Anolis sagrei: one gene and its partners. The protein of the gene in region 3 interacts with the protein of the main gene of each other region in a pairwise test. Links are inferred from orthologs where the notes say so. Each region holds a gene or a part of one and is shown on either strand. Other genes may lie near its edges. The genes, in order: lipopolysaccharide-induced tumor necrosis factor-alpha factor-like, PLEKHB2, STAM2 and ENTREP1.

Region 1 (7,559 bases), on a different chromosome or scaffold from region 3:
AACCAAACAGCAGTCCTAAAAGAAATAGAGAACAAGATGAAGCAGAGCAGTATAGTGGTTTGAGTTTTGAAGACTCCCGGGTTCGAATCCCTGCTTAACCATGGAAGAGCAGCTTTGCGCAAGTTGCACTCTCTCAGCCTCCAAGGGAGGCAAAAGCAAAAGCCCTTTGAACAAATCTGCCTGGTTGAATCCCAAGTCAAAACATAGCAATTGCAAAACAGGAGGCAGCTTGGAACACATACCACATTGTCTACCGATTCTCATTGTTTTGGACAAAATCCAAATAACTGACAGTCCACAACTAATGGTAGACTGCAATAAGGAAAAGGAGGAAAGAGGAGAACAGGAGGAAGAAGAAGAAAAAAGGGGAGGAAGAAATATATATATTCTGGTTTTGCATTGGTTCCAGTTTGTAGGATGGTTAGCCACTTTTGAGTCCTGTGATTGGGAGAAATGCATAAAACAACTCAGTAATAAAAACAATGCTAATAGGGCAGTAAAAGATATTACTTTATTCATTGTATATCGACTTGCAGTTTCTCAGGTTGCTCCTGACTTGAGAAACTTAAAAGTCGATATACAATGAATATAAATATAGAATTGTATATCCCACCCTCCTCCTTTTCAGCATCAACTGAGTCTACAAGGTGAGACCAACTAGCTTTCTATAAATTAAGAAAATAGTAAGATATTATACTGCCTTAATCACATTGGTTTCACTGCATGATGACGATATTAATTTGTATCCCACCTATACACACCATGAATCCACTTGTACCTTGGACCAAGTCAGAGACACAAAAACAACCCTGACAGCCTCTGTACATGCTTTTCCTAAGCTCCGTATTTTGCCTTTGTTTTGCAATGGCTCCCCAAAGGAGACAAACAAGGCCTCAATGTGCAAGTGTGGTTAAAGGTGTGATGTCATGGCCCCCACGTGTTGGTGATATCAGCCTTTAATGAGAGAAATACCTTCCTCTAATTACGGGCCTCGATTCTGAGCAGCCTTTCTAAAGGCTTGCTCATCCAGCCTGATTTGCCTCCACTTGGTGCTCCAACCCATGCAAATTGGCCCCATTCATGCATTCCTGATGAAAGAATGTGGAGGTAGGTGGCAATTGACCACTCCTTGGGCCGCTATAAACGTCCACATTTTTTCTAAATGATGCGGTTTATTCATGTGCCATTCCCTTGCTAGAGAGCATTTGCCCCACAATGACAGCTATTTGGCAGCCAAAGGACAGCTTCCAAGTGATGTGTTTCCCATTTGGTTTCACTTCGAGTCTCCTTGTTTTGGGGGATACAAAGTCCCATCATCCACAGCCATGCCTGCCTTGGGAAGATGGGCTACATGACTCCAATGCCTGAGTCCTTAATATCATGGATCCAGAAATTAAATTAATTACTTCCTATTGACCAGATGGGTTGGTTCTAGTTTTGGACCTACAAATTGGATTCGGAACAGGGTGACTACAAATCCCAGAATCCCCCATCCAGTATGGCCAAAATGGGGTTCTGGGAGTTATAGTCCAACCCATCCATATGCTCAAAAACAACTGGAAGCTAGTTTCTCCATCCGATCCCATAATGTCTGTTTGGTCCTCTGTCTTTTTTTATCTGTTTCGGAATAGTTTTAAGCTTGGAAAATGCATGAAAGTTGGGATGATGCAACAAGCAAAGCTACTGTTAGGTGGATTGGGAACTAGTTCACCCGCTATTTCTATCCAATGGCTTCCCCCTTCTTCCTGGAGAGAAGTGACTTTTGGGGTCTTGTCTTGGGCCTTTAAGGGCTATTCAGAAGCTTTATCAGTGGCTTGGATGACAGACTAGAAGGCAGGCTGATCCAAATTTGGGAGGGACAGCAAATACCTAGAGCAGGGGTCCTCAAACTAAGGCCCAGGGGCCGGATACGGCCCTCCAAGGTCATTCACCCAGCCCTCGCTCAGGGTCAACCTAAGTCTGAAATGACTTAAAAGCACACAACAATAACAACAATCCTATCTGATCAGCCAAAAACAGGCCCACACTTCCCATTGAAATACTAATAAGTTTATATTTGTTAACATAGTTCTTCATTTTGATTATTGTATTGTTTTTAAGTGGGGGTTTTTTTTGCACTACAAATAACATGTGCAGTGGGCATAGGAATTCATTCATGTTTTTTTTCAAATTATAATCTGGCCCTCCAACAGTTTAAGAGACTGTGACCTGGCCCTCTGTTTAAAAAGTTTGTGGACCCCTGACCTAGAGGATGGGACCAGGATCCAAAATGACCTCAACAGATTAGAGAGCTGATTGTCCAGAACTAACAAAACGGAATTTCAGTAGGCAATAACAATGAAGTGTACAGATAGAGGAGTTAAAGGGATTGAGGAGTAATAGTAATAATAATAATACCACCACCTGTCAGCTGCAAAAGGCCCCCTTCTTGGATCTGCACGCATTATTAACCAATACATCACACAGTCCTAGAAACTTGTGGTGTCCGACGTGTGATCCAATACAAAAGCCAGCATAGTGATCTTGTTTGCTGTGTACTAGTCTTTTTGTGTATCTAATAATAGTAGTAGTAGTAGTAGTAGTAGTAATAATAATGATAATAATAATAATAATAATAATAATACAAGAGTGTGATGTGGCAGCTAACAAGGCCAATGTGATCCTAGACTACTTCAATAGGAGTCTAGCGTTTAAACAGAGGGAAGTTATATTGACCATGGATTGACTATATCTAAGTCTGAGAAAATGATCTAGAGTCTTAGCAGACTGGAAACTGAATGAGAGACTACAGTGTGATGCAGCAGCAAAATAGGCCAATACGATCCTAGGCTGCAACAATAGGAGTCTAGTGTCTAAATTGATAGAAGTAATCTTGGCTATGTCTTGATAATAGTTATGTTTGTGATGTATGCTAACAAGGCCAATGTGATCCTAAACTGCATCAATGGCGGTGTAGAGTCCCACTCTTTTCTGCCTTGGTTGGATCTCACCTGGAATAATAACCCTGTATCCAGTTCTGAGCAAAGCAATTCAAGAAAGAGATGGACAAGCGGGAAGGAGGACCAAAATGGCCAAGGCTTATGAGGAACAGCTTAAATTGCTGAGGATGTTTAGCTTGGAGAAGGCGGATAGAAGAATATGAGAGTCATGTTGAAATATTTGGAAGGATGCCCTGTTGAGGAAGGGGCAAGGCTTGTTTTCTGCTGCTCCAGAGACTGGGACACAACAGAGTATTGGATTCAAATTGCAGAAAAAGGGATTCCATCTGAACATTAGGAAGAAATGATTTCCCTACCTGTGTGGACCAGGATCAGATAGAACTGGTACCTCTTTCCCGGAGTCTCTGTTCACTTCATCGGCCTCTTGGCTCCTCTGATGTCCAAGGAAGGGTCATGATCTATTCCTAAGATCTTGCTGACTTGGAGCCCAGGTCCGGAGTGAGGGTTTATCCCATCTCAAAGGGGCAGGAAGAGATAGGAGTTTGGCCGGAAGGGAGGAGAAATGGAGCAGCTGTGTAATTACCCTCCGGTTAGCCAAGCACTCCATCCTCTTTCCAAACGCAAACATCCCAAAGAGGAATGCCGGGGAACGGGTTGGATGAGACAGGGCTCATTTGGTTGGGTGTCCATTCAAGATAGCACCTCTCAACAGGAGCACCTTTGTTTTGGAGAGTTTTGCGGCACTGATCCAAGGCCAGCTAAATTGTGTTTTCTATGGCTTTGACTGCATCTGAAGCAGGCCAGGACTTTGGCAATGTTTGCAGTGATCCGAAGCAATGGTTGCAATGATATATGATTGCAGTGGCTTCACCTGATTGTATCCGAAACAATGGTTGTAAGGGTACATCGTTGCAAGGATGCACGTTTGCAGTGGCTTCTCCTGACTGTATCCGAAACAATGGTTGCAAGGATACATTAATGCAGTGGTTCTCAACCTTCCTAATGCCGTGACCCCTTAATGCAGTTCCTCATGTTGTGGTGACCCCCCAACCAAATTTGGCACAATTACCTGATACACCCAAATTTGAATACTGGTGGGGTTGGGGGGGGGGAGTTGGTTTTGTCATTTGGTGTTGTAGGTAAAGGTTTTCCCCTGACATTATGTCCAGTCATGTCTGACTTGGGTGTGGTGCTCATCTCCATTTCTAAGCCAAAGAGCCAGCGTTGTCCGTAGAGACCTCCAAGGTCATGTAGCCAGCATAACTGCAGGGAGCATCGTTACCTTCCCACCAGAGCAGTACCTATTGATCTACTCACATTTGCATGTTTTTGAACTGCTAAGTTGGCAGAAGCTGGGGCTGACAGCGGAAGCTAATGCCACTTCCTGGATTTGAACCTGCGCTCTTTTGATCAACAAGCTCAGCAACTCAGCAGTATCGTTGTTGGGATTTATCGTTAACCTACAATCAAAGAGCATTCTGAACTCCACCAACGATGTAATTGAAACAAACTTGGCACACAGATATCCCTTGACCAACAGAAAATACTGGAAGGGTTTGGTGGACATTGACCTTGAGTTTTGGAGCTGTAGCACTGTGGACTCAAACAATGATGGATCTGGACCAAACCTGGCAAGAATACTCAATCTGCCCAAATGTGAACACTGGTAGATTTTGGGGAAATTAGACCTTGACACTTGGGAGTTGTAGTTGCTAGGATTTATAGTTCACCTACAATCAAAGAGCATTCTGAACTCCATCAACGATGAAATCGAACCAAATGTGGCACACAGAACTCCCATGACCAACAGAAAATACTGGAAAGATTTGGCAGGCATGGACCTTGAGTTTTGGAATTGTAGTTCACCTACCTCCAAAAGCACTGTGGACTCAAACAATGATGGATCTGGACCAAACTTGACACGAATACTCAATATGCCCAAATGTGAACACTGGTGGAGTTTGGGGAACATTGACTTGACATTTGGAAGTTGCATTTGCTGGGATTTATAGTTCACCTACAATCAAAGTACACTCTGAATCCAGCCCACAATCAAGGGAGGGCTCGTGTGAAGGAGCCCCCGGCTGCCTCGCGGCCTCGCCATTTGGTGAAGCCGCGAGGGAGCTGAGGCAGCCTCCACACAAGCCCTCCCTGGACTCCCCCACGGGCGCCAAGGAGCCCAGAGAGGGCTCGTGCAAAGGAGCCCCCGGCTGCCTCGCGGCCTCGCCATTTGGCGAAGCTGCGAGGGAGCCGAGGCAGCCTCTGCACAAGCCCTCCCTGGGCTCCTTGGCGGCCTCGCCATTTGGCGAGCCCGCTGGGGAGCCCAGGGAGGGCTCGTGCAAAGGAGCCCCCGGCCGCCTCGCGGCCTCGCCATTTGGCGAGGACGCCAAGGAGCCCAGGGAGGACTCGCAGCCTTGTGGGCGGGGCCGAAGGAGGCGGCCTCGCGACCCCTCCGAAATGGCCAAACGACCCCCTGGGGAGTCGCGACCCCCAGGTTGAGAACCGCTGCATTAATGCATTGGCTTCGCCTGACTGCATCCAAAACAATGGTTGTAAGGATACATCATTGCAAGGATGCATGTTTGCAGTGGCTTCTCCTGACTGCAATCAAAGCAGTGGTTGTAAGGATACAGAATACCAGGCTCTCCTGACTGCATCCAAAGCAGTGGTTGCAATGATACATAATGCAGTGCTTCTTCTGACTGCCTAAAAAACAATGCTTGCAATGTTACATAATGCAGCGTTTCTTCTGACTGCATATGAAGCAGTGCTTGCAATGATACAGAATGCAGTGCTTTTCCTGATTGCATTCAAAGCAGGCCAAGACTGAAAATGCAGTGGCAATGGTTACATTCTCCTTGTAGTTAAGCTGGGCCTGTTTTGTCTGAGAAATAAATTGCTTACCTTCCAAGTTCTGGTCCAATTCAGTTTCCGTACTCAATGCATTCATTATAACACTTTGTCAAAGGCCAATAATATCAGGAATTTGAAATAACAGGGTTCGAATCCCTGCTCAACCATGGAAATCCTTTGGGTGGCATGGGGACAGCCACACCCTCTCAGCCTCAGAGGGAGACCCCTTTCTGAATTGATCCAGATAAGGAACCCCTATTATCCTCAGTTCTTGTGGGTTTTTTCGGGCTATATGGCCATGTTCTAGAGGCATTTCTCCTGACGTTTCGCCTGCATCTATGGCAAGCATCCTCAGAGGTGAGGTCTGCTGGGACTGGGAAAAAGGGGGTTTATATATCTGTGGAATGACCAGGGTGAGACAAAGGGCTTTTGTAAGTTGGGCTGGGTGTGAATCTTTCAGCTGACCACCTTGATTAGCATACAATGGGCTGACTGTGCCTGGAGCAAAACTCTTCTTGAAAGGTGATTAGATGTCCCTGCCTGTTTTTCTCTCTGCTGTTTTTGCTGTTGCAATTTTAGAATTTTTTAATACTGGTAGTGTGTTCATTTTCATGGTTTCTTCCTTTCTGTTGAAATTGTCCACATGTTTGTGGATTTCAATGGCTTCTCTGTGTAGTCTGACATGGTGGTTGTGAGAGTGGTCCAGCCCCTATTATTTTGGAGAGCTGGAATGGCTCAGTGGTTTGTGTGAATTAGGCCTCTAGGAGACACAAGTTCAAATCCTCACTTGGCTATTGAAACTCCACAGGTTACACTCTCTCAGCCTCCAGCATTCTTTCTATTAGGATTTCCAAAAAACGAATGCCTTGAATTTGGGCAAGTTGCACCTTCTCAGCATCATAATAAAATCTTGGCAACCTTCTTGGATAGAAATCTACGCAGCCCTCTCTCCGGACTCCCCCAGAACACAAAGAAATGCATACAAGGCTAGATTGCATCTTATAATCAATACCCATTTTATCGTATGATAAAAGGACTTTTGGACCCTTCCAGTTTGCTGATAAGTGTATATGTCTCCAACTTACAGTGTCCCTACAGCAAACATGTCACTGGTTTTTCTTGGCAAGATTTATACAAAGGAGGTTTGCCCTTTGCCTTCCTCTGAGGCTGAGAGAGTATGGCTTGGGCCCAGTGGGTTTCTATGTGAGGATGCGAACCCAGATCTCAGAAAATAGTCCTCCAGTGCTCAAATTGCTTGCTTATACCAAGTTGTTCATGAAAAGCAGCACCCCTTCAACTTCCTGCCAGCAAAGGTGCCGCAGTGTTTTGAATGTTAGATTAAAGCTCTGGAGTCCAGGGTTTGAATCCTCCCTTTTGGCCATGAAGCCTAATGAGTGCCCTTGGGCAGGGTGCACGGTCTCAGCCCCAGATAACCTTGCAATGATAGCCTTGCCTTTGAGCCCTCCACAAAGCAACAAACTGCTCCCTCTCTGCTTCCGTCTCTCGAAGCATCCAAGGCAAACTCTATATAAAACTTTTTTCCCCAACACGCCCTAAATCTGGCCCTGATCCGGCAGGTGGGTGGGATCGCCAGTTTATTACAGGTGTGAAATGCTGAATGCCCTGTTTATTACTAGGAGGTTTGTATTAAAACTCAGTCACACCTGTTGCCTTTCCGCCCGGACCTCATTTGACATGTTCCACATCTTTATCTGTGACTCGGACAATGGGAGAGAAGGCGCGTCGCTCCCACGTGCAGATAGGACG
Region 2 (7,972 bases), on a different chromosome or scaffold from region 3:
CAGCAATAGAACATGTATTTTAAATATTTCTTTATAATTTGATTTGCTGATGAAAGCAAGTTATAAAAAACTAGAAGCAGCAAAAGGAATCAAAGATTGTGTTGTACAAAGGCGTTGCCACCAAGTTGCAGTAGGGATGCACTTGGCAGAATCCCAGTAGCATATGAATAATTTGTCTTAAACATTTTATTCTCCAGTATTAAAAAAAAAAGTTTCATAACCCACATTTTTCACTAAAGAAAATCCATTTGGAGAAAAAAATAAAAATTATCCATTCTTCCCCTTCTGAATTTTTTTCTGGATCATACTACATCCCAAATAACCACACCCCCATCTCCCATCCCAAACAGTACTCACTTTCTTTTATGTGCCTTCAACTTATGGTAACCCCATGAATTTCAAAACAGTTTTACTTTTTACTGTCATGAATTCTAAACTAGCTTTGGGTGAATCTACACTGTAGAACTGGTACAGGCTGATACTACTTTAACTACCATAGCTCAACAGCAACAAGATATTGCAAAACTTCCACAGCATTGAGCCATGGCAGTAAAACTAGTCACCTCAGTGACTTTACAGCGAAAAGCAAACAACAATCTGCTCTTTCACTTACCCTGAGAAGGAATGATGATTTCATCCACAGAAGTACCAACTATCACAATTCACTTGGGTTTTCCAACCGCTAACTTCTTACACCCAGCAATGATTCTTAGCATTAAGCCACCCCATTCCATTACTGATTGTGTATTTGCCTAGAAGTCACCTTATGGTAAACCCAGGCATTTCACTGGATTTTATTAAGCAGGGGATACTCAGAAGTGTTTTTTCCAGTTTCCTTCCTCTGAAATACAGCCTCCGATATACATTAGTGGTTCCTCATGCAAATACTAACTAGACCTGACCTTGCTTCACTTCCAAGATCTGAAAGGATCTGGTACCTTTAGGGTTTGTTGCAGAAGACAAGTACGGAGAAAGACCTTCCCTTCCCGTCATATTCTGCTCATATTTTGGCAGCAATCCAATATACGGCTGTCCAACAAATGCATTTTTAATTGGACTTATATATGCCTTTCTCTCAGCATACATACACGAACTTTATCTTCCCCACAGTAGCAAAGTATTTTATTTATACTCTGCCTTTCTCAACCACAAAGAGGACTAAAACAACATACAATTCAAATGAATATTTAAATTAAAAATTAAAATTAATCAACATTAAAACATTTAAAAACATTACATTCACTATTAAAAACCACACCATCCACAATCGTAATCTGAGGCCATTCCAGTTGTCATTGCACATATTACGTACCTATTACTGCACTACAATTATTGAATTACCAACAATAGTAACTCCATCATTCAGAACAAAACATCCCAGTAGTTCCATGATGGTCAACTCAGGTTTATCTGTCATCAGGACCTCTTGTGTCTAGACTGACATACCCGGTGGCCCTGCAGCCAGAATCCTTTCATCAGCTTAATTTCTGCTTCTCACGCAGCTCTTTAAAAAGGCAGGAGAGTCCACCAAGCGGGGATCCTGATTTAACTTGCACTGCACTTCAAGAGTTACACTACGTTAGACTGAACAGGGTCACCTAGGGTTCGTCTACTCCAGACATGGGCAAACTTGGGCCCTCCAGGTGTTTTGGACTTCAATTTCCACAATTCCTAACATCCGGTAGGATTCAACCACCTATGGCTTGAAAAAATTCAGTCCCCTCTTGACTTTTGTTTTTATATAAAGAACACAATTTTACTATGCCACTATATACAACAGGACTTGAGCATCCACACATTTTTGGTATTCACAAGGAGTCCTTGAAACAAACCCCAGCAAGATATCAAGGGCCCAGAAATGCATCTACTTAGTTTTAACTGAGGTATATTTATTATATGTATTCACTAATTAATAAACAGACATTAGTAAATATAAATAATTTAACAAGATACCAAGAGCCCACAATATTTTTGCTACAAAAAAAAATGCCCAGGAATGTATCTAATTTTAACTGAGGTATATTTATTATATGTATTAACTGATTAATATTAAACAATCATGAGTATAACTAATTTAACAGTAATTTATTAATAACAAGAGAAATATTCATTTGTGACTCCTGGATCAAGGGACATGAGCTTGACAAGCCTACCTCAGTTAATAGTTACTTATTGAGAAATAAACAAACAATTATTAATTAATTCTTAAGGCTTGTAGCCTTAAGAAAAATACTTCAGTTAACACGTTATCTATATAAATAAAAATGTAATGTTTGTTTGTGGGATTAATATAACTCAAAAACCACTGGATGAATTGACACCAAATTTGGACAGAAGACGCCTAACAACCCAATGAGTGACCATCACTCAAAAATTGATTTTCTCATTTGGGAGTTGTAGTTGCTGGGATTTATAGTTCACCTACAATCAAAGAGTATTCTGAACCCCACCAATGAGAGAATTGGGGCAAACTTCCCACACAGAACCCCCATGATTAACAGAAAATTCTTAAGGCCATCCAGTCCAACTCCCTTCTCCAGTGCAAGAAAACATAATCAAAGCCCTCCTGGCCAAGAGCCATCTAGTCATAGATATAGAGATATATGACTCACACAAACACAGATATAGTATCATAGATTTGAAAGGGACCCCTAAACAAGGACAATGCTCAATGTATTGTCGAAGGCTTTCATGGCTGGAATCACTAGGTTCTTGTGGGGTTTTTCGGGCTATATGGCCATGTTCTAGAGGCATTTTCTCCTGACGTTTCGCCTGCATCTATGGCAAGCATCCTCAGAGGTAGTGAGGTCTGTTGGAATTAGGAAAATGGGCTTATATATCTGTGGAATGACTGGGGTGGGGCAAAGAGCTCTTCTCTGCTGGAGCTAGGTGTGAATGTTTCAACTGACCACCTTCATTAGCATTTGAAGGCCTGGCTGAGCCTGGGGGAATCTTTTGTTGAGAGGTGTTTTGTTGAAGGACAAACATGCTATTTGCATGCTCCAGAGTAGGCCAACCAGACAATCTCTACATCAACACAAGCATAAAAAAATTACATATATTAGAAACCAACACTTTCTCATTACTTTATTTTCCAGATCACCAGACTGGGCCACAGCAACGCGTGGCAGGGGACGGCTAGTTTATTAATAATACAACGGGTTCTCCCCCCCCAAAAGAGGAAGGCGGGGGACGCCAAACGGCGGACACCGGGAAACAAGGCCTTGGCTGGGCCTGACATCCTTGACTGGCCTGTCCTGAAGCACAGAGAGAGGCCCTCCCTCCTTTGGTCCCTGTCTCCCTCACCGAACTGCGGCTGGTCGTCGTCGCGGCGAGGGCGGCGACCCTGGCCCGGCTGTCGAGCTCTGGCTCTCGAAGGCCCGCGGCAGGAGGAGGAGGAGAAGAAGGGGAGAGTGCTGCCACAACCAACACCACAAGAACGAGCCTCGCCGCCTCCCTCACACCTTCCTTCCTTCTGCCTGCTCTGGAGAACTGCGCAGCAACCTAGCGGCCCGGCGACGTCACATCCTCCCGTCGGGTTGGGAGCAAAGGATGAGGCGACGGCTGCGCGCGCAGATTTCCCCCTCCTTTCTCTCGAGGCCGTGAGCGAGGCTACGTCACCCGCGAGGGGGTGGGGTCGAAAAGAGCCGAGCACGCGCGTCACTTCTCACGTGGTCGGAGGAATCCTCGCGGCCCGAAGGAAGGCTGCTCCCCCTCCACCCTCGGTCAACCCCACCCCCCGCCCCAGACTGGTCACGTGCCATCATCATCATCTCTGTACTGTTGTTGATGCCATTATTATTGTTTTATGAATGATTGCTAATCGTTCACAATGAATCATAATAATCAATAAATAATAGCCAAATAACAAACAAGTCAATTATTAAGAGCAACTATTATTAAAATTGTGTTCCCATTATTAATCATAATAGCATTAGCAATACAATAATAAGGTACAATAATACCTTGTCTCCTGTGCTGGGCTAATAATATAATAAACTAGCTGTTCCCTGGCACGCGTTGCTGAGGCCCAGTCTGGTGATCTTGAAAATAAAGTAATGGGAAAGTGTTGGTTTCTAATATATGTAATTCCATGTAGAAATTAGCTATGACCAGGCTGAGAGGGCTCCCCATAGCTACTCCATCTTTCTGTTCATAGAACTCATTGTCCCACTGAAAGTAGCTGGTGGTGAGGCAATGGTGAAACAGAGCCATGATGTCTTCTGGGAACCTCTGGTTGATGAGTGCCATGGTGTCTGCTACTGGGACCATGGTAAATAGAGATACCACATCGAAGCTGATCAGTTTGTCGTTGGTATTTAGGAGTAGCTATGGGGAGCCCTCTCAGCCCAGTCATAGCTAATTTCTACATGGAACACTTTGAAAAACAAGCCCTTGAAACAGCAACCAAAAAGCCCACTATATGGTTCAGATATGTGGATGACACCTTCACTATTTGGAGCCATGGAGAAGAAGAACTCAACAGGTTCCTGGAACATCTTAACAGCATCCACCCAAACATCCAGTTCACTATGGAAAAAGAAAAGGAAGGAAGACTGCCTTTTCTAGATGTCCTAGTCATCCGCAAATCAGATCAACAATTGGGTCACACCGTTTACAGAAAACCCACACACACAGATAGATATCTACATAAAAACTCCAACCATCACCCAAGTCAAAAAAGAAGCACAATTAAAGCCTTGGCAGACCGTGCAAAAAGAATCTGCGAACCCCACCTCCTCCAAGATGAACTGAGCTGGGCTCTCCAGGCCAATGGATACTCCACCTCAGACATCAGAAGAGCTGCAAAACCGAGAACAAGCCACGAGAGTAAAGATGAAGATCCACCCAGAGGAAAAGTGTTCTTGCCATACATCAAGGGAACCACTGACCGCATAGGGAAACTGATGAGGAAACACAACATACAAACCACTTACAGACCCACCAAGAAAATCCAACAAATGCTACATTCAGCAAAGGACAAGAGGGATCCTCTCACCTCTGCAGGAGTCTACCGTGTACCATGCAGCTGTGGACAAGTCTACATAGGGACCACCAAACGCAGCGCCCAGGCACGCATCAAGGAACATGAAAGGCACTGCAGACTACTCCAACCAGAGAAATCAGCCATAGCAGAGCACCTGATGAACCAACCTGGACACAGCATATTATTTGAGAACACAGAAGTGCTGGACCATTCTCACAACCACCATGTCAGACTACACAGAGAAGCCATTGAAATCCACAAGCATGTGGACAATTTCAACAGAAAGGAGGAAACCATGAAGATGAACAAAATCTGATGTTTCCCCAAACTAATATATTGCAATATTCTATCCAATCTTTCCCCTCCTGCCCCGCACCTATGTGTTGGAAATAAAATGCATACCATATCGTCCGTGTATGTCTTTACTTTAAATTCATATCCTTTTATTTTCACTCATTTGATGCCACTCTCTTTTCTAATTTTAATGTTCAATATTTCTAGCATGCAACTAACCAATAAAGGTGACAAGGGACAACTTTGTCTCGTCTCTTTCTGTATCTCAATATAGTTTAATAATTGACAATTTAGCTCTCTGTTTTGAATAATTACATCTTTGGCTTTTTTAAATTGCTGACCAACTCTATATTGCTCTAATAGTACCTTTCCCATAAATTCCCAGCAGACATTATCAAAGGCTTTCTCTGCATCCAAAAATAGTAGAGCAATATCTCTATTAGGATCTTTCTCTGACATCTCTAGTATTTTTAAAAGTTTGGTCAACACGCAGTGGGGTATAACTGTATGGGTTTTAGAATACAGTTCGGTTTTTGCTCTGAGAAGCCTTTGCTCAGGCATTTTACTCAACCATTTCTACTGCTCTCTCATTTGGATGATGATGAAGAAGCCTTATTCTGTATTGCTTACAAGGACTATGTAAGTTTGTTGCACTGTTTGTTTTTGTTTGCAACATTGCAAGTTTATGTTTTAACTCTGCTGATAAGAGTAAAGTGTTTCTGTTCTTTTTCCTCTTGCCTGGGTGCAATGTTATTGTATCTTCTGCACTGGATCTGACGGAAACATGCTATGCACAACGTATTTGCTAGAATTTCTGCAAATAGTTTATATCACAATTTACTAACAAGGTTGGCCTAAAGTTTTAAACTTGTTACATATCTCCATCCTGCTTAGGAATATAGTGGCCTCTGCCCATGAATCTGGTATTTCTCCTTTCTGCATAACTTGATTCATTGAAGAAAGAAATAGTGGGGCCAGTTCTTCCTTGTATGACTTATAATACCAAGCAGAAAATCCATCTGGATCTGAGGCTTTATTTATTTTGGCATTGTCAATAGTCTTAAACAGCTCCTCCTGTGTAATTTGCTTATCCAGCTCTATTTTCATTTCATCTGTGAGCTTAGTGACATTCATTTCATCCAGATCAATCTTCTTTTTATCTAATTGCTTTTATATAGATTTCTATAATAGTCTTCAAATTGCTTTTGAATTAGTCACATATATGTAATTATTTCTCCTTTACTCCTTTACTATTAGCTGCTTCCTTCTTAGTTGCCATGCTAACAGTTTTCCTTGTTTGTTTATGTCTAATATATGTAATCTTCTGTTCTAACTCATTCGTGAGTAATAAATCATATTGCTGTTGGAATTTAGTCAATTCTTGCTGCAATTTATTCTTATCCTTATTATTCTCTAATTCTCTTTCCTTGTATCTTATCTTCAGAGCAGGATACGGAGTTGATACTGTGATGGTTGCCTTAGTGGGTGATCTCCGTCTCAGCATCAACAGGGGGAGTGTGTCCCTGTTGGTGCTTCTAGACCTCTCAGCAGCCTTCGATACCATCGACAATGGTATCCTTCTGAAACACCTGGAGGGGCTGGGCATTGGAGGCCCTGTGCTGCAGTAGTTCTGGTCATACCTCTCAGGCAGGTTCTAGATGGTGGTGCTTTGGAATAGCTGCTCCTCCAAAAAAGGGCTGTTATGTGGTGTCCCCCAAGGTGCCATTCTATCCCCAATGCTCTTTAATTCTTCATTAAGCCACTGGGAGTGATCGTCCATAAGCATGGGACAAGGCATTATCAATATGTTGATGGCACCCAAATATATTTCTCCATGCCTTCAAAAACAGCTTCAGCTAACGATAGTGTGTCTCCACTGAATTAATGTCTGGATCAGGTAATAGGCTTGATGAGGAAAAACAAATTGAAACTGAATCCAGACAAAACAGAGGTGCTTGCTATAAAGGGTAGGGTCCTCATCTGAGGATAGAGGTGTGTCAGCCAGCTCTGAATGGTGTTATACTCCCCCTGAAAGACTGTGTATCGCAATTTGGGGGTACTCCTGGATCTGTCTCTCCAAATGTCAGCCCAGGTAAATGCGATGGCCAGGAGTGCTTACTGTCAGCTTCGGCGGATATGCCAGCTGCGCCCCTTCCTAGATTTGGAAGACCTGAAGATAGTAGTGCATGCACTGGTAACCTCAAGGCTGGATTTCTGCAATGCACTTTACATTGGGTTACTCATGTACCAAGTTTGGAAACTCCAACTGGTCCAAAATACAATAGCCGGATTGGTTACAGGAACATCTTGAAATAAGCATATCATACCTACAGGCATGATTTTCATGTTGGTTCGCGAAAAGGCCTTACTGGTGCATTATTTAAACTGTTATGTTTATTCATATCATGATCTGATCACCATACTCAATATATCCCATATGCATGGGGGTATTGGGGTAATGATACAAAAGGTTTGCTAGGCTAGACCCTCTTTCACTCAGACTCAGCCCCCCCCCCCAACCCCCCTGAAAAAAAATTCAGCCTCCCCGGAAACGAAATCCTGGCTACGGGCCTGCATACCTATCCTAAAGTCACCCCACTGGCTACCACTTCATTTCCAGGCAAAGTACGAGGCGTTAGTTTTGAACTTTAAAGCTCTACATAGTTTGGGTCCAGGTTACCTAAAGGATCA
Region 3 (8,099 bases):
AATACTTATAAGGCCATTTCTGCAAGGAGGAAAAATCCTATTCTGCTTGGTTTTTAATGTAATAATGTCATAGTGGAAAGTTCAGGTCAGCTTTGGACTGACAAAGGCATAACACTTCTTTTATACATGTGTATCATACAGTGAATGCAAGACCAGCATAAGACGCTTACTTTGAAGTATAGTTCTGCTTTGTGGTTGCTTGAGTACACAAGAGATAACAGTCCAGCTGACAAACAACCAGAGCAGGAGTCAGGCTAAAAACCTGACTCACCCTTGAATTACTCTTGGGCAAATCATTAGCTCTCAGGTTCAGTTCTACATTTGACAGCTGAGAAAGAACTGCCCTTGGGTAGCTCCCAGCCAGCAGAACATTTCACAAAGATAGTAGAAATTCTAGAGATGAAGAGACCCATTTCCATGTTGCGCATGGGAAACGGGCCAAATATTTATAAGTTGGAAGAAACAACATGAAATAGTTGTGACCCAGTTTCAGGAATATAGAGTACAGTATTTCCGGAACAATAATCTCTTAATCAGAAAGTCATTTCCTCCCAAACCGCCAACCAAAACACAACAACCCAAACCCATGCCAATAGAAACAACTCTGTGCTATGGTAATATGGTCTGCATTCTGGGAATATGGTCTGAAATGATACACAGCCACAACCCCAAGAAAATGAGTGACCTCCTTTTTGGCCAGTGCAAAATATCTGAATGGAGGTGGGGATTATAATTACTTATATCCTGCTTTTATCGCGATTGAGACACTTGGGGGCCCATTCACCAGGAAACTCTCTCTTTGCCCCAATGACTCAGGAATTGTGTGGCTGGATATTGGCACAGCATCCCCTGAGTCATGCCAAGGAACCCTGGTTACTACTACTATTACTAATGTCCCACTTTCCCCCCAGATTGGAACTCAAAGCCATACAACAACAATATTTAAAATGTTCAAAATCCACAAACCACAACAGTTAAAACAGTTAAAACGATTAAAGTTAAAACTTAAAACATTCATCATTAAAACACATACAAACCACTGGTCATATCTAGTGTAAGAGGGACCTTACAAGTGGTGCTTCTGAAATGTAGAATTAATGCAGTTTGACAGCACTTTGGCTCCTTCCACACAGCTGAATAAAATCCCACATTATCTGACAGCGTGGACTCAGGGCCCTTCCATATGATTCCAGGTTTTCTGTTTATCCCAGACAGTGTGAACTCATATAATCCAGTTTGAAGCAGAAAATGGGATTCTGGGATATAGGGCCTGTCTGGAAGGGCCCTCAGATATTCCAGTTCAAAGCAAATATTGTGGGTTATTCTGCCTTAATATTCTGGATGATATGGCCTATGGTCCCTTCCACACAGCTGTATAAAATCTCACATTATCTGCTTTGAACTGGGTTATATGGCTGTGTAGAAGGGTCTTTAGGCTTCTGTAGTGTGATCCTATGGAATCAAGGAATCTGTGGCCTAATGAGGCACTTACACCTTTTAGCAGATGAAGCCTTGTAAAACCACAACTCCTATGATCCTCCAGCACAGAGACTCCTTCTATACTACCATATAAAATCCAGGTTATCTGCTTTGAACTGGATGTAAACTGAGATAATCCGGTTCAAAGCAGATAATGTGGATTGTCTGCTTTGATAATCTGGATTATATGGCAGTGTAGAAGGGTCCTGAGTCATGGCAGTTAAAAGTGGTATTGCTGTGCATTAATCTTACAATGTAGATGCGCCAGGCCCCTTCCACATGGCTGAATAAAATCCCAGGGCCCTTCCACACAGCTATATAACCCAGAATATCAAGTCAGAAAACCCCACAATATCTGCTTTGAGCTGGGATATATGGCAGTGTGGAGTCAGGTAACCCAGTTCTAAGCTGTTATTGTGGGGGTTTTGGCTCACAACAGTCTAGTCACTGTGGGATTAGAGAAGTCTTTGCTCTCCTGACACTTCATCTTCCCTTTGCCCTTTGCCCCAAAGAGGACCAGCCTTTGTGTTTGAGGTGCCTTCAAATCACCTGCCAGATGAATGGCCTCAAGGACTCCTTAGGTCCCTTCTACCTAATAAAATCCCACATTATCTGCTTTGAACTGGATTAGATAACCCACCTCAAAGCAGATATTGTGGTGTTTTCGGCCTTGATATTCTGGGACATAGGACTGTGTGGAAGGGCCCTGAGTCCACACGCAGATATTGTGGGATATAGGGCTGTGTGGAAGGGCCCCTTGAGTCACTGTCGGCATAGAGAAGTCTTTGCTAGGCTGACACTTTGTCTTCCCTTTGCCCCAAAGCCTTTTTGTGTGAAGTGCCTTCAAGTCACCTGCCAGCCGAGTGGCCCCAAGAACTCCATAGGAGCTTCTTAGGCCCCTTCTACACAGCTGAATAAAATCCCACATTATTTGCTTTGAATTGGATTTGATAATCTAGCTCAAAGCTGATATTCTGGGACATAGGACTGTGTGGAAGGGCCCTTGGTTATCCAAGTCCACACTCAGATATGGTGGGGTTTTCTGCCTTGATATTCTGGGACATAGGGCTGTGTGGAAGGGCCTTGAGTTCACACTCTGATGTTGTGGGATATTCTGGGGTATAGGGCTGTGTGGATGGGCCCCTTGAGTCACTGTCGGCATAGAGAAGTCTTTGCTAGCCTGACACTTTGTCTTCCCTTCGCCCCAAAGGGGACCAGCCTTTGAATTGGATTAGATATCTGCTTTGAATTGGATTAGATAACCTAGTTTAAAGCAGGTATTGTGAGATTTTCTGCCTTGATATTCTGGGATATAGGGCTGTGTGGAAGGGCCTTGAGTCCACACTCTGATATTCTGGGATATAGGGCTGTGTGGAAGGGCCCTTAAACAAGAAGGGGCCTTGGCAGTTCCTTCCCTTGAAAGAGACCTGGCAGTGGCCTCCCTCCCAAGTGCTAACCAGGCCAGGCCCTGCTTGGCTTTCTTCCCTGGGGCCCTTCCGTGGCCCTCGACTCACCCACATCCTGCTCGAAGGGGTTGGGGGCGAAGAGCGGCATGGCGGCGGCAGAGGGAAGGGGAGGCGAAGAGACCCGGCTGAAGGAAGGGAGGAAGGAAGGAGCGACTAGAGACGCAGCCCACCAGCCCCTGCTCCTCCACTCAGCCCCGCCCCTCTCCTCTCCTCTCCCCAACTTCCTCTTCCGCCCTCCGCGAAGGACCCGCCCTCTCGCTTCATTGCCGTCCAGCGCGCGCCTGAGGAGACGCGAAGGTCGGAGGAGGAGGAGGAGGAATACGGCTTGAACATCGCGTCCCCCCTTTTACGTTTCCCTCGACACTAAGGGAAAATGTCGGCTAAGGAGGCAGGCAATACAATAGACACCTAGCACCGGGGTCCTAGGAAGGAGAGGCGCATAGAGATAGAAGAGTGGAGAAGAACACTTAATTGATTGGCGTTCTGCGGAGACAGGCAATACATAGACACCTGGCTTCAGGGTCCTAAGAAATAGAGGCGTGTAGACATAAACATTGTTGAGAGCGCTTCACTATTTGCCTGGAAGTTAAAAGAGTAGCAAGGCAGCTGACTGCATTTGCAATCCATTGGTAATATAGGGCTCTTCCACACAGCCCTATAACCCAGGATATCAAGGCAGAAAATCCCGCAGTATCTGCTTTGAACTGGGATATATGGCAGTACACTGCCATATATCCCAGTTCAAAGCAGATACTGTGGGATTTTCTGCCTTGATATCCTGGGTTATAGGGCTGTGTGGAAGGGACCATAGTAAGGCCTGCTGTTTTAAGCAGTCAAGGCATTCAAGTTCCAGTGAGGAGAAGGGGAGGGGAGTTCAGAACAAGATGACACTTTGGGGGTTGTGCAAATCTATACTATTTGCCAGCACTTGTAACTGTCGTGGCTCAGTGCCATACAATCATGGGAGTTGTAGTTTTACAAGGTCTTTAACCTCCTCTGCCCAAAAGTGTTGGTGCATCAGCAAACTACAAAAATGAGACTTTGGGGCTGTGCAAATCTGTACTGTAGATGAATGCAGTTTGCCAACACTTTAACTGCCATGGCTCAGTGCTATAGAATCATGGGAGTTGTAGTTTGACAAGGTCTTTAACCTCTGCCAAACTACAAATTCTAAAATTCCATAGCATTGAGCCATGGCAGTTCAAGTGATGTTGAACTGCATTCATTCTCCAGTCTAGATGCACTTTAAGCAAATCCAATAGAATTCAGAATAAGTTTTTCTTTTATGCTGGGGTCTCTAACAGCCATATGGTGGGAAGCTGAAACCTAAATTGATAAGTATGTGTAATAGCTAAGTGGGCCTCCTAGTGGCGCAGCGAGTTAAACCGCTGAGCTCCTAAACTTGTTCACCAAAAGGTCAGAGGTTCGAATCCAAGGAGCAGTGTGAGCTCCCACTGTCAGCCCCAGCTTCTGCCAACCTAGCAATTTGAAAACATGCAAATGTGAGTAGATCAATAGGTACCGCTTATGTGGGAAGGTAACAGCGCTCCATGCAGTCATGCTGCCCACATGACCTTGGAAGTGTCTTTGGACAACGCTGGCTCTTCGGCTTAGAAATGAAGATGAGCACCACCCCCCAAGGTCGGACACGACTAGACGTAATGTCAGGGGAAACCTTTACCTTTACTTTCTAATATATAAGTAAGAATAATTGCCCCCCCCCCCCAAGAATATACCGACTGTAGGATTGTTTCCCATGCAATTACCCTATTGTGATTCTGCCCTTTCAGTCCACATACCTCTAACTTTGGAGATGGTGAAAACCGGGATATATTGCGGTCATACAACATTTTAATAAAATCAAGATGCCTTTCTACGCAGCCCTACATCCCAGAATATCAAGGCAGAAAATCCCACAATATCTGCTTTGAACTGGGTTATCTGAGTCCACACTCAGATAAAGCGGAATTTTCTACCTTGATATTCTGGGATGTAGGGCTGTGTGGAAGGGCCTCAGGACATTTTAAAAGCAGTTGAAGAAGTCAAGACAATGGGACTAATCAGGACTGTCTTCCCAAGTCAGGCAGTTAGAGATTATTTATTTATTTCGCATATTTGTATCCCGTTGTTCTCATCCCCCGGAGGGGGACTCAAAGCGGCTTCACAAGAGGCATTCATTCAATGCAAACAACAGTAATAAATGATAAAAGCAATTAAAACAATTCATTACTGCTTTAAAATTACTAAAACATTGTTTAAATCACACAGGTTTGAAATCATAGTCCAGGTCTGTCCATTGTCATTCACACAAACTGGGTCTCATTCTAAATTTCTGCCTCTACTGTTCGAACGCTTGGTCCCATAGCCAAGTTTTGAGTTTCATTCTAAAGGACAAGAGGGAGAGGGCCAATCTAATGTCACTGGGTAGAGAGTTCCACAGGCAAGGGGCCACCACTGAGAAGGCCCTGTCTCTCGTGTCCACCAGTCACGTTTCCAAGGATGGTGGAACCGAGAGCAGGGCCTCTCCTGTTGATCTTAGACTTCACAGTGGTTCATAACAGGAGGATACGTTCAAATAGGTAAGCTGAGCCAGAACCTTTCAAGGCTTTATAGGCTAAAGCCCACACTTGGAATTGTGCTTGGTAGCAGATTGGCAACCAGTGGCATAGCAGAGGGGTTGTATGCTGTCTGCATGTCGCTCCAGCGAGCAACCTGGCTGCCATCCATTGGACTAGTTGGAGCTTCCAGTCTTTAAAGGCAACCCCATGTAGATTCTATTGCTGTTTTACACTGAAGAGCTGGAGTGGAGGTCTGAGGTTCTGGAAGAAGGCTTTGACTTGAAAAGTTATTTTGAGGTGTGTGTACACTGCATTAGACTTTTGGAGTTGTGTAAATCTACACTGTAGAACTAATGCAACTGGGTACCACTTTTAACTGCCATGGCTCAATGCTATGGGATCCTGGGAGCTGTCGTTTTACAAGATCTTGAGCCTTCTCTGCCAAAGAGTGCTGGTGCCTCGCCAAGCTATATACCACATAGCATTGAGCCATGGCAGTTACAGTGGTGTCTAACTACATTAAATCTAGATGTACCCTTGGTCTCTTTGCTTAGATACAAGCCTGCATTGAAGGAAGTTTGAAATCTTGATCCCAGATCCAACATTAGATTATTGAAAAACTGAGGAGGCGAGAAAACTTTGCTTAATTATGTAAGAGTTGATCACAACTCACATCAAACATAGAGCATTTTATATTCATGCCATAAACAGAGTGTATGTTGTTCAGGAATCAATCCCAACATTGGTATTTAGCTGCATTGGCAGTGCCAAATGTTGTAAAGAATGTAGAATGGAAATGCAGAGAATTCCACTCAGTGCAGTGCTATAAAAATGCCTTAATCTGACAAATACATTTGCAAACCAGTTGTCCTTGTCTGCTGGTGTGACCAGGTCTGGGTCAGATGACTATTGCATTACAAGAGCAGCTGAAAACACAGCACGTGCAAAATGCAGAAAACATCAAATTCCTGCTCACTTTGGCATATGATGCGAATAGCCATGGCCTTTGTGAGATTATGGCCAGAATCCTTTTGGTGCCTTAACAGTCTGCTATGCTGATGTCAGGCACTTTCTGGAGGGATGTGGCGCAGCAATGGGGGGGATGGCAGGGAAAGCTGTCTCTATTGCCAAGGAAAACTGTCCTACCACTCCCATGAAGTTCAGGAGCCAGCAAAAGAGCAATTTCTTCTGACACATGACTTCTGATGCTATCTCTTCATTCTCACAACCGCTAAAGTCAGTTTTTTTCCTGTTTCCACAGCACACTGTTATCAATGCTTTCAGCAGTGTAGTAGTGCTGGCCAACAGTTTCATGGTCTATGCATTCATATTCATGGCCATCTAGATATCTGACTACTCTTACAGCCAACCGCTTGATGTGATGGTGAAGTTACCAGGTTTTCAGTCTTAAAATGTCTGATGTGTTCTACAGCAGGGCTTCTAAAAACTTCCACTTATGGCCCCTTTTTTTCCTGAGAAATTTTTACACGATCCTGGGTATACAGGGATATGAAATAAGTATAAAAACCAAACATGTGTTTGCAAATCTGTGTTTGCAAGGCTTGCTAAGCAAGCTGATTTTTCTTCTTATGGAGTACAGCTGAAGCATCTTCTGTAGAGCCCACTGTTAATTTATCAGACCTTGCTGCAGAGCTCATCAGTGTTCCTGTTTCCCAAATTTGTATTTGGAAAGCTGACCTATTACCTTTGAACAACTATTTTCAGACATCAAAGAATAAAGCACGGTTTCTGGACTATCTTTTCTGAAGCAAATTGATGTTTACAATGTTATGATGCAGTGTTGATACTGTATAAGCCGACTTCATTGACATAAGTTTGTTCACTTTGTCTCGTCGTCAGAAATTTTAAAGAGACTGGAAATAAAAGAACAAGCAGCAGCCTATAGATTTATGGAAGAAATTGAAGTGATAAGTACATTTGTATAAGAGATATGTACAAGGATCTACAGAAGAATGTATAGAACAATTATACTTTTTGACACACTTTTAAAAAAGATGTTCAGCAATTAGAAAGCTACAGTTAACGCAAGAAGACCTTTCCCTAGGTAATAGGAACCAAAATCCAAATCTGATGTTACTAATCAAATTTAAATAAAAGCCTGGCACCTGACAAATTTTTCACTACCATCAGTTGAAATTCATTTTTAATTTGTGTGGGAAATGTAAAGGCAGGAGAATATATGCAGAAAACCTTCATATTAGCCATAAGACTATTGCTTGTTATCCAGAATCTCCATAAGTTAGGTTTTATGGGAAAGATGGTGCATTTGTAGATGCAGCTGCCAAAGTGTGGCGAGTAATTTTTGCACTATCCAATTTCAGACAGAAAAGTGGTTTAGAATACTATTACTCAGTAGTTGTGTCTTTCACACTAGCTGTTTCCCAAAGTTTCTGGCTTGATACAAAACTTGGTGACATCAACTGCAAACTCACCATACTCTGAAGGAACTGTATCCCTGTATAACCTTGCAAGCAAATTTTGACAACACAGACAATTAATGCAAAGCCAAGCAATGTGAAATTTCAAAAGTTTAAACTCTATCAAGCAAGTTATAAAATGCTTTAAAGTGTAGCAT
Region 4 (8,228 bases), on a different chromosome or scaffold from region 3:
TTAAGCAGAGGCTGGATGGCCATTTGTCAGGGGTGATTTGAATGCAATATTCCTGCTTCTTGGCAGGGGGTTGGACTGGATGGCCCATGAGGTCTCTTCCAACTCTTTGATTCTATGATTCTAAGTTACCCTGCCTCCTGAATTCGCACTGCCAACCTTTCAGTCAGTAAGTTCAGCAGCTCAGCGGTTTAATCCGCTGTGCCAATAATATATCTTTGATTTTACATCATGTTCTCAAGAGACGAAAATAAGTAGTCTTTGTTAAAAGTAACATAGTTGGTTTACTTACAAATTTCATATATTCAGCATACAGGTACATTGCTTATCAGTTGAAAGTTTAAACAGCAAGTTCTCTAAGGCATTCTGTTGCAGTTTTTTCTCTGTCTTATGTCTAATGCTTAATGATTAATCAACACTGACTAAACAATACAATACTGATCGAACACTGACTTCTAAAATGGAGTCTCAGTCTGAATAGTCCCAGATCTGATCACATGATCTGCAGCCCCTCCCACAACTTCAAACAATATACATATTGCAATACACACATATACAATATAGTAAGCAATCTGAATGATAAAATAACTAGTATAGGAGGATTGCAGAAGGTTACTATTTCCAATACTGTGTATATGATGCTATGGTACCATAAATTAAAAACAAAACAAATAGGAGTTATTAAATACAAAAACCCCTTTGTGACTTTTTTGGGACATCCTATATATACAGGAGTTCTATGTATACTTTATAATATGATGTTACAATACCAAACACTACTGACAAGATTTAATTTTTCACACGTGGTGCAAATTTATCTCCTATATACCATATATTGCATATAACATTTTAAAAATAGGAGTTACTGGCAATTCCTGAGTTACAAACATCTGACTTACTAACAACTAATAGTTAAGAACGGGGGTGAGATAACAAAAATGAGAAAAATCTACTCCTCGGAAAGGAGATTCACTCCAGAAATGTTATCATGGGGGAAAGGGGTCTCCATTGAAGTTTTATCACCAATCCTTGTTTCAACAACAAGTTACATTTTTAAAAATCCAATGATCACAGGGACAGAAAGAGAGGTGAAATCTTCTGAACAGGGGCTTAAAACAAAACAAAACAAAACACCACGAGGCTGTTAACCCTTCCCTATGCTAGCCAAACTGAGGGACACTAATGAACTGGATAACAAGAGACCACAAGTGGCCGTTGAGCCAACCTTGTAGTTGATGAGACAAACCATTAGTTACACTATTTAGCCAGAAATAGAAAAGAAAAGCACAAAATTGTATATTCTGGCAAATGGAAGATCTGCGTGAAGCCCTAAGGACAAATCAAATAGAATAGAATATGGATATGGATATAGACAGATAGATAGATAGATGTGGATATATATATGTGTGTGTGTGTGTGTGTGGAGTTACAGTTTAAAAATATACCAGTTCTGACTTACATACAAATTCAACTTAAGAACAAATCTACAGAACCTATCTTGTTGAAAAACAACAAATAATAAAGCTATTAAGTATTAAAATCTCTTTGTGACTTCTTTGGTCCACCTTGTGTGTGTGTGTGTATAGATGTGTGTATGTGTATAGGTCCTATGCATGCACTGTATATAAAGTTATAGTAAACTTCTTTAGTCCACCTTGTGACTTCTTTAGTCCACCTTGTGTGTGTGTGTGTGTTTATGTATATAGGTCCTTTGCATACACTGTATATAAAGTTATAGTAAACAAAAACAAAAAACAAATAAAAGAGTTATTAAATACTGAAACCCCTTTGTGACTTTAGTCCACCTTGTATATGTATATAGGTCATATGCACACTGTATATGAAGTTATAGTAAACAAAAAAAACAAATAAATGAGTTATGAAATATTGAAACCTCTTTGTGACTTCTTTAGCCCACCTTATATATGTGTGTATATGTGTATGTAGGTCCTATATACACAACATATATATATATATATATATATATATATATATATATATATATATAGTGTGTGTGTGTATATATATATATATATATATATATATATATATATAAAGTTATAGTAAATGAAAACAACAAACAAAAGGAGTTATCGAAACCCCTTTGTAACTTCTTTGGCCCACCTTGTTTATGTGTGTGTGCATAAATATATGTGTGTATAGATCCTATATATATACTGTATACAAAGTTATGGTAAACAAAAAAAAACAAATAAAGGCGTTATTAACTACTGAAACCGCTTTGTGACTTCTTTGGCCTAACTTGTGTGTGTGCATAAATATATGTATATATAGGTCCTATACATACACTGTATATAAAGTTATAGCTTATTATTATTATTTATAGTAAACAACAAAAAAAGTTATGAAATATTGAAACTGCTTTGTGACTTCTCTGGCCCACCTTGTGTATGTGTGTATGTGTATAGATCCTATGCATACACTGTAAATAAAGTTATGGCTTATTATTATTATTATTATTATTATTATTATAGTAAACAAGAAAAACAAAGGAGTTATGAAATATTGGAACCTCTTTGTGACTTTCTGCCCCACCCTGTATGCATGTATCTTTATGAGAGTATATCTCCATATGCAGCCGGTAGGCTGTTAGGAATTGTGGGAGTTGAAGTCCAAAACACCTGGAGGGAGGGCTGAAGTTTGCCCATGCCTGATCTAGACTGCATATGGAGATATACATACACACAGACTTTGTTCTGATGCGATGGCGCTGTAAATGAGAGCCCGGGGGGCGCAGGCAAGGCGTGGGGGCGCAGGCAGTGCACTCACCGAGGCGCCGGCCCAGAAGGGGCAGGAGTTCTTGACTTGCGGGGAGCTGCTGAGCGAGAGCGCCCCGAAGCTGAGCGCCACCATGCAGCCGCCCAGCATGAGCTGGAGGAGCCCCAGGGAGAGCAGGGGCCGCGCCGGGAGGAGCAGCAGCCCCGAGGAAGAGGGGGCCCCGGGGGCGCAGCGGCGGGCAGGCCTGAGGGGCCGGGCGGAGCGGGGCCCGCGCGGAGGAGCCTCCGCGGAGCAGGAGGGCGCCAGCGCCGACAGCCGGGACACCGGGCAGCAGGAGCCCGGCAGCACCACCGGCAGGGACATGAGGCAGAGCGGGAAGGCCAGCTCGGCTCCACAGGCGGCGGCGGCGGCGGAGGCTGCTTCTGCTGCTGAAGGATTTGCGAGGGAGGCGGAGGGGCAGCTCCGCCTCCTCCTCTGCTTTCTCCTCCTCCTCCTCTTGCAAGCCCCTCGCTGCTCCTCCCGCCCAGTTTTCCCTAGTCAACACAACACACACACACACACATATCTCGGCTGGACACTCAGCCTTCGCCTCGTAGTTGTTTTGTTTCTCGCGAGGCTTTTGTCTCCAAAGCCGCCAACTCCTCCTCCAAAGGTTAAACTCTCCCAACTTTGAAAACTCCTGCTTCTCCTCCTCCTCCTTCCCAGGCCCCATCTACACTCACCCTTTTGGAAGTGGACAGTGGCATGACCTTTCTGCAATACTTCTTGAATTGAACGACTTGATTGATTATTGATTTAGGGCTTTTCTATCCCGTCCTTTCTCAACCTCCGCAGGGGTGACAAAGTGGCACCCCATGACGCCCACATCAAAATATAAATATCCAATTAACAATAATGTAATAATAACAATATAAAACAGTATAAACAATATAAAAACAATATGGAATGTGTCCAGAGGAGGGTGACTAAAATGATCAAGGGTCTGGAGAACAAGCCCTATGAGGAGCAGCTTAAGGAGCTGGGCATGTTTAGCCTGAAGAAGAGAAGGCTGAGAGGAGATATGATAGCCAAGTGAGAGGAAGCCACAGGGAGGAGGGAGCAAGCTTGTTTTCTGCTTCCCTGGAGACTAGGACGCGGAACAATGGCTTCAAACTACAAGAGAGAAGATTCCATCTAAACATGAGGAAGAACTTCCTGACAGTGAGGGCCGTTCAGCAGTGGAACTCTCTGCCCCAGAGTGTGGTGGAGGCTCCTTCTTTGCCTCTTCCCTCCCAACATCCCTGCTGCCTTGTCACTATAAGAGGGTTTCATGAGACAAGTTGCTCTTGTTGCAATGGTGTAGTAACAGTGAGGCCGTGGACCATATTTTAGTTCTCGGGGACCACTGGTGGTCCGCGGACCACAGGTTGGCAACCACTGATCTACACCAATGTGTAGACGTGGCCTCCGTGTTTCAGTCCTATAAGAAGATTTGTGTTTTGCTTAATATCATCTGACAGGATGCGGAACAATGGCTTCAAACTACAAGAGAGGAGATTCCATCTGAACACGAGGAAGAACTTCCTGACTGAGAGCCGTTCAGCAGTGGAACTCTCTGCCCTGGAGTGTGGTGGAGGCTCCTTCTTTGGAAGCTTTTAAACAGAGGCTGGATGGAGGGGTGATTTGAATGCAATATTCCTGCTTCTTGGCAGGGGGTTGGACTGGATGGCCCATGAGGTCTCTTCCAATTCTTTGATTCTATGATTCTATGAATATAAAAACAGACAACAAATAGTCAGTGGTCACTGATTTAAATCATTATCCAAGGGCAGTCCATCAGTTCTAAATAAGTCAACACCTCAGTAGGTCAGCCTATTCTCCAAAGGCCTGATCCTATAGCCAGGACTTTATTTTTCTCCAGAAGGTCAAGAGGGTCAGATCTAATTTCACTCGGGAGGGAGTTCCACAGCCCGGGGGGGGGGGGCACCACTGAAAAGGCCCTGTCCCTTGTCCCCGCCAAACACGATTGTGACAGTGGGGGGACAATGAGCAGGGTCTCCTCAGATGATCTTAGGGCCCTAGGTGGATCGTAGTGGGAGATACGTTCGGACAAGTAAACTCTCTCATCAGCCAAAACTAAATCCACTTGTGCCATCACACCCGGACAATACAAAGTTAAAACTAAGATGTGCTTCTCTCTTTATCCGGGTGAACTGCGAGTGCCTTACTTAGAAGCTCAGAATTCCCAGCAACTGAGGCCAGTCCAGATTTGAAGATCAAACAGAACATTTATTTCTCAAAGTCCTTGACAGACTTGGCACAGCTTGATGAAGTTACAAACACAAACGGTCAACTGGTGAAATTATATAGATGTTCTTTCTTTCTTTTTTCCTTCAGCTGCCGAGTTAACTTTCTCCAAGGGTAGAAAAATCCTGGGATCTTTTACCCTAACCCTGAGCTGCTATCTTTTAGAAAGAGCAGGTCTTCCCCTATCCAAGCCCAAGGTTAGCTTGAGGATGAAGTAATGGAGCCTCTCCCAATGGCAGAGAAATCCTGAAATATTCTCTGCCCCAGCGCTGAGCTGCTATCTTTTAGAAAGAGCAGGTCTTCCCCTATCTGAGCACAGCACCAGTTTCTAAGGCAAGAGGGTAACCGTACTCACGATGGCCTGTCCGAGCTGCCTAGCTTGGCCACCAGCACATCTGAGGCTTTTTCTATACTGAAGAAGGCAGGAGAGCTTCTCCAAAATGGAGATCTTACCCCCAGGAAAAAGGGCAGTCTCTGGACCAAGGAGATACTTTTTTAAGCCAATAGCTGCAAAAGTCTTGCAGGCTTGCTTCCAGCCTCTGTTAATGTTTGACCATTAGGGTGCTGCTAAGACTGTAGCAACCCTGGGGGAAATGTAAAGGGATGCTATTTCAAGCAACTAAAGGGCAATGCAAACCAAGCTCCTGGAAGACGGAACACCACTCTCCCATTGAAATACAGGTACGTTTAAAGGCAAAGGTTTTCCCCTGATATTAAGTCGTCGTGTCCGACTCTGGGGGTTGGTGCTCATCTCCATTTCTAAGCCGAAGAGCCGATGTTGTCTGTAGACACCTTCAAGGTCATGTGACCGGCATGACTGCATGGAGCACAGTTACCTTCCCACCGGAGCGGTACCTATTGATCTACTCACATTTGCATGTTTTCAAACTGTTAGGTTGGCAGAAGCTGGGGCTGAAAGCAGAAGCTCACGTCGCTCCCTGGATTTGAACCTGTGATCTTTTGGTCAACAAGTTTAGCAGCTCAACAGTTTAACCCACTGGGGGTTAAAATTATTCTTCATTTTAGATATTTATTGCTATTTTATGGGTTTTTCTTTTGCACCACAAATAAGATATGTGCAGTGTGTGTAGAATTCATTTTTAACAAGATATGTGCAGTGTGTGTAGAATTAATTCTTTTTTCCTTTTTTTTGTGCAAACTATAGTCCGACCCTTGAACAGTCAAGGGGATCATGAACTGGCCCTCTGCTTCAAAAGTGTGAGGATCCCTGATGTACACTGCCAAGTAAGGCATTATATGGTCAGTGGAGACCCATATAATGCCTTGTTTTCCAGGGTAAATCCATCTTTGGTCACCTTTCAAGGTTTTGTGTATACACAAATACTTGCAGATCCAAATCACATCTGGTCCCAAGCATTTTGGATAACGGAAGTCCAAACTGTGCCAACCAAATCCTCTCCACGTTTTCACTCCCAGCCAGCCGTTGGGAAAACTCTTCAGCATTATTCAAGAGCTGCCAAGTCGCCTCTATTTAGGGGCAAAACATTTCTTTGGAGCCAACGGTCCTCTCTCCCAACATGTAAACCAAAATCCTCTCCAACTGCCAACCCTCTCCTGAACAGAGAAGAGCGGGGGCCTCACTTTTAAAGCAATACCAGCTGAAACATTTGTGTTCCCTGTCACTTATCCCCCGCCTTTTCCCTGTTGCTGTTATCCTGGTGTGAGGCTAAAAGTTTTAAAATAACTCTTCCCGAGAGGCAGGGGAGCGGAGGATGCAGATGCCACCAGGATAATATGTCGCCTTTCTAAGGCCTCAGGAAAGAGGAAATTGGGAGCTTGTTGTCAAAGACTTAATGAATTGGCACCAATTGACCACCATTCTCTAACTGGGGGCTGAAGGCTGGGCAAAGAGTTTAGGCCAGGCATGGGCAAACTTTGGCCCACCAGGTGTTTTGGACTTCAACTCCCACAATTCCTAACAGCCTACTGGCTCTTTGAAATAGTAAGAGTTGAAGTCCAAAACACCTGGTGAGCTGAAGTTTGCCTATGCCTGATTTAGGCTTTCCTGTCTTGCAACCCTCACTTGTTTGGTCACTTTTGAACTTGAGGATTATTGAGACAAGGGGAGCACCTATACACTGTCTTAAAGAGTGATTATTTTAACAACCTTTTACTACTGGAAGTGATTTTAATTGACTTGTGTTAACTCTGTTTTCATATTTGTATGTTGTGGATTTTAAATTTCATACATAACACTGACCAACACACATTTTGGTACCTCCAGTGTTAAAAGTGTTTCTATGTATATGTTTTTATAATGTTTTTATTACGTTTCACCAAAAAAAAACCCCCAAAAAACACATCATCAAAAAGGACAAAGTAAAAGGACACATCTAAAACAGACAAACATAATTCAATTAAATAATAATAAAAACAAAGGCACGATTTAATTGTCTTGTCTAGACATCCTTTCCTTCGAGATAGAGGTTTCTGTGTATATTTGACATGCCGATTCCAAAAGTGACACTAGTTTTCTCCTATTGACTCTTGTTTTTGAGATACAGAACATATACCATATACTAGTCTTCATCTACTCAATCATAAGAAATCATTATAACTATATCAAAGAAACGTAGTGGTCCATCCAATGCAGTTTTCTGAATTACTGCCCCAAATAACCCCAGAAAATGAAAAAAACAACCCCAAAAATCCAGCACGAAGAAGAAAATGTTGTTGAGCTATGTTATTTTAACAGTTTTTAAGTGCATGAAGTTATTGTAATTGATTTATGTTTACAATTCTAATATGTGTATGTTGTGGATTTTAAATTCCATAAATAACACATGTTGCAAGTGAGAAGTTCATGAAGGCGCCTACCACCATATGAGGTGGAACTATAAAAAAAGCCAAAAACTGCTGGCATCAAATTCACAGGATAATCTAATACGTTCTTAAAACAAGAATAAGTTTCAAGCCACAACATATACTGCTGGAGAGTCCTACATGTTCAGTGATGGAAAAAGATTGAAAAACTGACTGCAGCAGATTGAACAGTGAAGATGTGGGTTAAAAGGGTTAAAAAAGGTACTTGGAAACAAAGCGACTTTGATGCTGTATGGGGAAAATTTGTTGTACATGGTTTAAAAAATAAGGAAGGGAAGTTACCGTCAAAAGAAGAAATGAGATTTTGGACAGATGATATGTAAAAATTGGGGCTTGAGACAGGGGGAGGGGAGCACAGTGGT

What was found.
Region 1: the proteins of STAM2 (region 3) and lipopolysaccharide-induced tumor necrosis factor-alpha factor-like interact in a two-hybrid assay, tested with the Homo sapiens proteins (4 studies listed by BioGRID and IntAct). The two-hybrid records come from large-scale screens. The link is inferred for Anolis sagrei from reciprocal best matches to the Homo sapiens genes STAM2 and LITAF.
Region 2: the proteins of STAM2 (region 3) and PLEKHB2 interact in binary tests that used the Homo sapiens proteins (3 or more experiments, as listed by UniProt). The two-hybrid records come from large-scale screens. The link is inferred for Anolis sagrei from reciprocal best matches to the Homo sapiens genes STAM2 and PLEKHB2.
Region 4: the proteins of STAM2 (region 3) and ENTREP1 interact in a two-hybrid assay, tested with the Homo sapiens proteins (2 studies listed by BioGRID and IntAct). The two-hybrid records come from large-scale screens. The link is inferred for Anolis sagrei from reciprocal best matches to the Homo sapiens genes STAM2 and ENTREP1.

What each region holds. Positions count from the first base shown.
Region 1 is NC_090034.1:20,485,931-20,493,489, forward strand, and holds the start of lipopolysaccharide-induced tumor necrosis factor-alpha factor-like, read right to left. Parts: upstream 3,500-7,559; 5' UTR 3,328-3,499; exon of another isoform or gene 3,296-3,327; intron 2,109-3,295; exon of another isoform or gene 1-2,108.
Region 2 is NC_090023.1:219,715,456-219,723,427, reverse strand, and holds the start of PLEKHB2 (pleckstrin homology domain-containing family B member 2), read right to left. Parts: upstream 3,572-7,972; 5' UTR 3,307-3,571; intron 1,384-3,306; exon of another isoform or gene 1,313-1,383; intron 1-1,312. UniProt on the Homo sapiens protein: Involved in retrograde transport of recycling endosomes.
Region 3 is NC_090021.1:204,402,070-204,410,168, reverse strand, and holds the start of STAM2 (signal transducing adapter molecule 2), read right to left. Parts: upstream 3,169-8,099; 5' UTR 3,034-3,168; coding exon 2,994-3,033; intron 1-2,993.
Region 4 is NC_090022.1:221,871,708-221,879,935, reverse strand, and holds the start of ENTREP1 (endosomal transmembrane epsin interactor 1), read right to left. Parts: upstream 3,268-8,228; 5' UTR 3,100-3,267; coding exon 2,788-3,099; intron 1-2,787. UniProt on the Homo sapiens protein: Functions as an activator of the E3 ubiquitin protein ligase ITCH in the ubiquitination of the CXCL12-activated CXCR4 receptor. Thereby, triggers CXCR4 endocytosis and desensitization, negatively regulating the CXCL12/CXCR4 signaling pathway.